2 linked regions of the Oryctolagus cuniculus genome follow. The protein of the gene in region 1 binds, or shares a complex with, the protein of each later gene. Links are inferred from orthologs where the notes say so. Each region holds a gene or a part of one and is shown on either strand. Other genes may lie near its edges. The genes, in order: CRB1 and PALS1.

The links.
Region 2: the proteins of CRB1 (region 1) and PALS1 are in contact, whole or in part, in a crystal structure (PDB 4UU5), measured with the Homo sapiens proteins. The link is inferred for Oryctolagus cuniculus from reciprocal best matches to the Homo sapiens genes CRB1 and PALS1. Residues at the interface, in NP_957705.1 of Homo sapiens: Ala1401, Met1402, Glu1403, Arg1404, Leu1405, Ile1406; in NP_071919.2 of Homo sapiens: Lys261, Pro266, Leu267, Gly268, Ala269, Thr270, Val271, Arg272, Asn273, Ser281, Arg282, Val284, Val314, Asn315, Val317, Phe318, Leu321.

Annotation. Positions count from the first base shown.
Region 1 is NC_091444.1:13,700,048-13,703,869, reverse strand, and holds part of CRB1 (protein crumbs homolog 1), read right to left. Parts: intron 2,584-3,822; coding exon 1,627-2,583; intron 1-1,626. UniProt on the Homo sapiens protein: Plays a role in photoreceptor morphogenesis in the retina. May maintain cell polarization and adhesion.
Region 2 is NC_091451.1:13,174,691-13,178,512, reverse strand, and holds part of PALS1 (protein PALS1), read right to left. Parts: coding exon 3,752-3,822; intron 2,841-3,751; coding exon 2,769-2,840; intron 1,148-2,768; coding exon 980-1,147; intron 1-979. UniProt on the Homo sapiens protein: Plays a role in tight junction biogenesis and in the establishment of cell polarity in epithelial cells.

The sequences.
Region 1 (3,822 bases):
GGACAGTCAGCATCTCCATGGTCAGTACTAACCTCATGGGTCACTGCATCTGGAAGCCGGTCAAAATGAATCCGCATCTGTTTGTTATTTTGTATATGTAGTAAAAATATTGCCTTAGGTCAATTAAATTTTTCTTCAAAAAAAGTGAACATTGCCTCAGCATAATTTCCCCTTTTCTCCCTTAAAAAAATCACTAACCAACTTGCCACTCCACTTAAAATATTACATGGAGCTACGAGATGCCATACCTCATTGTCAAACAGGGCCACGATTTGTAATGAATGCTGTCGTGGGGGGAAACCCGTGAATAGTTTCTAATAATTCTTAGCCATCTGAACATGGCCCAGGGCTTGGCTAAGACTGGTTTTAATTTTACTTCATATAAAACAGGGAAGACTATTTACCAGATGTTGTCCTATTTCAGCTTACTCTGAAATCTTGGAATAAATTACAGCTCAACTTCAAAGCAGTCTGTAACAATTACCTCACAGATTTTTTTAGTGCATGATAATAATAATTAAAAGAAACAGGTATGCATTGCTCACTATCAACAGCAATCTTTGAAATGTTGTTGAAAATTAAGGATTTTGAAGTACATTGCACACTGTGATTAGGTAGAGAAATTAGGTAACTTGTTTATGGCATCTACCAAGTGTTACTGTTGTTATCTTTCTTTCTTTCCTTTCTCCCTTCCTTCCTCTCTCCCTCCCTTGCTTCCCTCCTTCATGCCTTTCTCCCTCCCTCCCCTCCCTTCTTCCTTCTTTTCCTTCTTTCCCCTTCTCCCTCTCTAACTCCTTCCCCTCCCTCCCCTCATCCTTTTTTTTCTTAAAACACCTAAGAAGGGGGACGGCACTGTGGTGTAGCAGGTAAAGCGGCCGCCTGCAGTGCTGGCATCCATATGGGTGCCAGTTCGAGAGCTGGCTGCTCCACTTCCCATCCAGCTCTCTGCTATGGCCTGAGAAAGCAAGAGAAGATGGCCTAAGTCCTTGGGACCCGTGTGGGAGACCTGGAGGAAGCTCCTGGCTCCTAGCTTCCAATTAGTGCAGCTCCAGCCATTGTGGCCAACTGGGGAGTGAACCAGTGGATGGAAGACCTCTCTCTCTCTCTCTCTGCCTCTCCTTCTCTCTCTAGGTAACTCTGATTTTCAAATAAATAAATATTTAAAAGAAAGAAAAAACCTACGAAGAATATCCGTTTTCTCCAATGCAATTCCAAAAAAGATAGTGTGAATAAGATAAGATTTATAAATGCACTAAACTTAAGCATGATTTTGGAGCAAGTATGAATTACATACTTGAAAAAGTGGAAGGAAGTGAATATTTACTGAGAAACTACTGTGCACAAGATACTATGCCAGTACATAGCATTGACAAGCTTCAAATTCATTTGGTTAGGAGCTACGTGCTTATTTAGCTCTCTGCATGAGTGAAACTCATGTCCTATGAATCCACTCAAAATTAATTAATGCATATCGCTGCCCTCTTCCTTGTCCTCAACAGTGGCAACCAGCAGCGGACGTCCTGAGGGGTCATTATATTTTGTAACGGACAGTAGCCGGCCGGCTGTTTCTACTGTGACTGCTCTGCTCTGCGGCAGGGCGCTCCTGGGCACCCAGCCTTCTCTCACCTCTCAGACAGTCGGGGCCTGTGTAGGGCCTGTAGCAATCACACTGGTAACTAAGCCACAGGTTGGTGCAGTGTCCTCTGTTTTGACAAGGTTGATTTTCACACCAGTCCTTTCTCACACAGCCTGCCTTGACATTCGGTGAAGAGCCCTGTGCAATGTTCTCCAGGGTGATGTGATGCAAATCGATTTTAATGTCTTGGAGACAGCCTACAAAGGAAGGTGTGGGCGCTATATCAGAGATGTTCAGCAGGGCGATGGTCCTGTTGGTGGCGCCCACTGGGAAACCACCCAGAAAGGAGTCGTGTGAAGCACAGATTGACTGATGACTTAGAAATGGAGATGGAGCTGTAGCGATGCATTCGTCTTTGCAGGAGCTGTCCTTTAAGATAAGAGTCACGTCCTCTGCAAACGTGGCCTCCACGGGATGCCACTCCCCATCGCTGGTGTTGTGGGGAATGTACAGAAGCACCTTGGACTGATTACGGACTTGGACTAACAAGTGAACATAGCCTTTCAGAAGCGCCAGCTTGACAAACACGTCCCCGTGGCCTCGGAAAAGCAGAAGTGTGGTTGGCTGAACAGTCTGAAACCTGAGGGCTATGGTGCACACGGAGTCCACGGGGGGATCTGAACCACTTGTGACCCACAGGAAGCCATTGCCCTCAAACGAAAATGTGGTGATGATTTCACACAGGGACCCTGTATAGCCAGATGGACAGAGGCAGCTGAATCCGTGCTGGCCATCTTGGAAGTGGGGAATGCATATGCCATTATTTCGGCAGTGGTGGTGGGCACAGCCCAGGAGCACGTCAGAACAGTTCTCTCCTCCATAAAAGATTCCAGAAAGATTATCAAATGGGCATCGGCAGATATAATTCCCAGGCAAGTTCTCACAAGTACCACCATTTTGACAAGGATTTGAAGAGCATTCGTCGATGTCTTCTTCACAGTGTATTCCTGTTAAACAAATAAAGACTAAGTTATAATTACACATATAACAAATAGATCGGAAAAGGAGTTTTCATATAATTTTCACGCATAACCTTGCAGAAGTGCAGGGCTAACTCAAGTTTAGGAGTGTAAGGGAGCAGAATGTAAATAGTGTTTGAGGAAAACTGAAATGGATGATGTTACTCCACAACTATTGTGAAGAGACCCGCGTCATGGCAGGCTTTGAATTTTTCTCTTAGAAATAACATGCCAAATCCAGTGAGTAACTTGAAGTGTCACACACACACACACACACACACGCAGCACTGGATATCATAAAAATGGGACAAAAAAGGAAAGACTGTTCTAGTGGTAATGCTAGACATATGTGATTTGCTTGAGGGCTCCTTTCCCAGTTATGCCCTGCATGGCTAATTTCACTGTATTCTACTTGGAAACAATGATTATTAAAAAAAAAAAAAAGATTTGCTTATGTATTTGAAAGGCAAAATTAGAGAGAGGAAGAAACACAGAAAGAGATAGAAAGAGATCTTCCATCTGCTAATTCACTCCCTAAATGGCCACCACAGCCAGGGCTGGGCCAGACTGAAGGCAGAAAGCAGGCACTTCTTCTGGGTCTCCCACATGGGTGTCAGGGGCCTAAGCACTTGAGCCATCTTCCATTGCTCTCCCAGGTACATTAGCAGGGAGCTGGATTGGAAGTGGAGCAGCCAGTCTCAAACCAGTGCCCATATGGGATGCAGGTGTTGCAGGTGGCAGCTTTACTTGCTATGTCACAACACTAGCCCCAGGAATAAAGATTTTGTCTTCTGTCATATTTATAGTTCCCCACAACTCCTTAAACAAATGTCTGCAGTATGTAAGGCTGGTAGAAGGCTCTCACCATGGAGTGCTTCTACAGTGAAAGGGAGGCGTTTGCTCCTAACATGGAATTCTACCATGAATGGTGACATCTATTCCGTAACAAGCTCCTGCTTATAGTTTTGACTTCACTGTCATTTAGTCTTTTCCTTACTTCCAAATCAAAGAAGTATATCTAATATCCAATAACCGAATTATTAGGATTGACTTCATCAAGGTGAGAAGAATGAGCTTTTCCAACAGCATTCAAATGAATAGTGAAAACAAAAACTGACAAATGCATAGCTCTTTCTGGGTTCTCCCCACACCTTCTTCTATATGTTTATATTCATGCTCACCACGACTTTCTAAGATTTCCAGGGTCTATATTCCAGTTCCTTTTAA
Region 2 (3,822 bases), on another chromosome or scaffold:
TAACAGTTACATTTAATTACCCTAATATGTTTTTTAAGATTCATTTTTTATTTATTTGAAAGGTAGAATTACAGAGAGGAGGAGAGACAAAGAGAAAAAGAAAGAGGTCTTCCATCCACTGGTTCACTCCCCAAATGGCCCCAACAGCCAGTGCTGGGCCAGGCCGAAGCTAGGATCCTAAAGCTACTTCTAGGTCTCCCATAGGAGTCTAGGGGCCCAAGCACTTGGGTCATCCTCCACTGTTTTCACAGGCACGTCAGCAGGGAGCTGAATCGACAGTGGGGCAGCTGGGTCGTGAACCTACCTCCATTTGAGATGCCAGCATCACAGGCGGAGGCTTAACCTGCTATGCCACAACACCAGCCCTCCATTTTTAAAAATTAATTAATTAGAGAGGCAAAGACTGACAGAGCTCCCATCAGCTAGCTGGTTCACTCCCTAAAAGCCCTGGAGCCAGGAAGTCAATCCAGGTTTCCCATGTGGTACTTCAGCTACTTGACCATCACTTGCTGCCTCTCAGGTTCTGCACGTTAGCAGAAAAGAAGAATCAGGATTAAAGCCAGAACTTGAACTCAGGGACTTTGACATAGGATGAGTATCTAAGGCACCTTAACTTCTATGGCAATCACTCTCCCCTAATTATCTTAATATGTTTTATGCTTCCACTTTAAAAAGCATATATACATATACAAATATTTGAGAGGCAGAGTTATAGACAAAGAGAGGCAAAGATTTCCTGTCTGCTGGTTCACTCCCAAATGGCCGCAACAGCGTGAGCTGGGCCAGGCTGAAGCCAGGAGCCAAGAGCTTCTTCCAGGTCTTTTTCAAGAACAACTATCTTTAAAAAATTGTCAAACATCTGGTTAAACAAACATCCTCTTTCATTGACAACCTTGATGAAATATCTCCCTTCACAGTTACGTTCCGAGGGTGCAGGTAAATTGAGTAGACAGGAAAATGGGAGCGCATCCAAACTTACGAGGAACTGCAGATGCAAAGCGGTCCTTTTCTTTGTTCATGAGCCTCTGACGCAATTCATTCTGGCCACAGTTCTGTGGACCGATTAGAATGATAGGTCTTTTCCTATTTGCTGGCTGATGGTAAAGTGACATTTCCTCATAAGTTAAGATCTCCTCATTGTCATAATCTTTGGAAAAGAAAAAGTTAGCTCTTCAGACAAATTAGATTACTGCCATATAATGATATACAGATCTGTCCCTCCTCACCCTACCCCCAATTATGGACACTTTATTATCATTAAAATACTTAACTTTTTGGATCAAGATGGTAGTAGATGGTAGTACTATATCATGAGCATTTTCCCATGTCCTTATAGCTTTGCCAGGACACTAAGAAAATGAATCTAACAATATACTACTAATCTTTTGAGAATTTTTTTACAGCTTATCTTGTTTCATATTGTTTGAATGGCTAAAAAAGTTGTATTGACCCTTATATAAATTAATGAGAAAAATTATGTCATTTTTGTACAATGCAGATACTTCTACTCAAGAGGATAGTTTCAAGGATCAGACAGAATGTACATGCTGAGCACAACAGCTGACACAGGTATTTACACACTGCTATAACCAGCTATCAGAGAAGCTGGAAAACTTTCCTGTAGTTGTGTAACTTGTTAACAGGTCATACTCATGCTATTCATACTTTCTGCATTTATATTTACTTTATTTTGGAACACTATCCTAGAGTCATGATGGGTGGGGTAACATTCCTAAAGCCCATTATCCAGATGAAATCAGAGCTGTTAAGTGGCAAGAAAAAAAGCAGACAACCAGCAGTCTGCCTTGCCCTCACTCCTATTACTTCACCTGACTGGGACGCAGCAGCCTCATGTATGAGACCCAGTCAGCACTAGATTCCACAAGGGCAGAGACCCATCTTAGGTTTGTCAGCGCTCAGCAGAGCCTGGCCCAGAATAAGTGTTCAAAGCAACTGTTCACAGGTTCTGTGCAGAGCACTGGCAAAGCTACAGATACACAAACCAAATTTGTAAATCAAAATGTTACCACATTATAAATATTATAAATATTGGAAGAAACCTGGTATTTTTGAGAGAAACATGTGCTGAGAAGGGAATTAAATATGCTGCTTATTAAAGTGGCTCAAATCTCAGATTTAGCTTTGTGTGGAATATCTCAACCATCCGTAAACATTTTATCTTCATTAGTGTATAAGAAACTGGGAGTGGTGGAAACTATTTGACTAAATAAAAGGTGCCCAATGGTAGGGCAATAGCCATCTGTCAGGTCCAGGGGACTTGTCATTGGGAATACAAGCCCAGGGTCATCAGAGCTTTTGATTTTAAGGGCAGCAATGACTTTAAATCTTTTTAATCTTAATAGTCAATTAAAGAGTGTGCCTCACTCAGTTAGTGGGCTCTGTGGAATGGATTGGCTCTGTAACGTGAGTTATGTTTTACTTCAAATACATCTGTTTTTAAAGAACTTGTTAGAAGCAAGTGTTAATTTTACAGGTTTAAATAATAAAAAAATGGAAACCATCAATTTTATACCACATACACATATACTACATAGTACTCTAATGTTTATACCATTTTCCCCCAATTATACACTGCATTACTCACGGGACTCCAAAAGAAAATTCCTACTGAAAAATTTTCTCAAGCACATATTCCATTAATAGGCAAAATGGGACTAGAAATAAAACTTCATGAAAATATCAGTTCACGTATTATTAGATTCAGACCCCTTCAGATATAAATTCCACCACCTGAGAGTAGAACTTACCATCATTTTTATTGGCATTATATAAAACCTTTTTCCTTTTCTTTTTATTTTTCTTTGCACACCATAGTTTTCCTGTTGAGCAATCAAATGAATTAATAAATATGGCATGTTTTCTTGAACAAAGTACATATTTTAAATAATTCAAATTGTTTAACAAGTTTTTCAAAATTTTTTTTCATTTTATTTGAAAGGTAAAGATACACACACACACACACACACACACACCCCTCTTCCATGTGCTGGTTCACTCCCCAAATGCCCCAACCATCTGGGCTGGCCCAGGCCAAAACCAGGAACCAGGAATTCAATCCTTGTTTTCCACATGGGTGGCAGGGTCCCAAGTACTTGAGTCACTACTGTCTGCTGCCTCCCAGGGTGCACATTAGCTGGAATCAGAAGTCAAGCTGGGACTTTATATGGGAGGTGGGTATCTCAAGCAACATGTTAACTGCTGTGCCAAATGCTTGCCCCAATTAATTTAAGTGTATCTACTCTTATTAAACTGTTCATAGATCATTTTTTAGTCTAGCTTTCCATAATAATAAATAATAAATAATAAAAAAATCTTTAATATCTAAATTTTGTATTTTTTAGCAATTTATTTTATTTGAAAGAGTGAGAGAGAGAGAAAAATGAATCTTTTATCTGCTGGTTCCTTTCCCCAGGCTGAGGCCAGGAGCCTCAAATTCCATCTGGGTCCTCCACACAGGTGATCATTGGGCCATTTCGGCCATTTTCCATGCTTTTTCAGGTGCATTAAACAAGAAGCTGACTAGAAGTGCAGCTTCACTGTAAGTAGTGGCTTAACCTGGCATATCACATCAGCCCTGTGGTCCATTCTTTATAGTCCTAAGGAAATCACTTTTGTTTCTCACATCACTCTTTTCACAAATTTATTTCTTAAAAGTTCTGATACACAAATTTAAACATGATTAAAGACGAAGACTCAAGAAACCTCTTACTAAGGTAAACATATATCTAACCTGATTTTTCTGGCTCCTTATCTTCTTCTATGGTATGCTTCATGGCTTCCCTTTGTTGTTGAAAGCTTTTT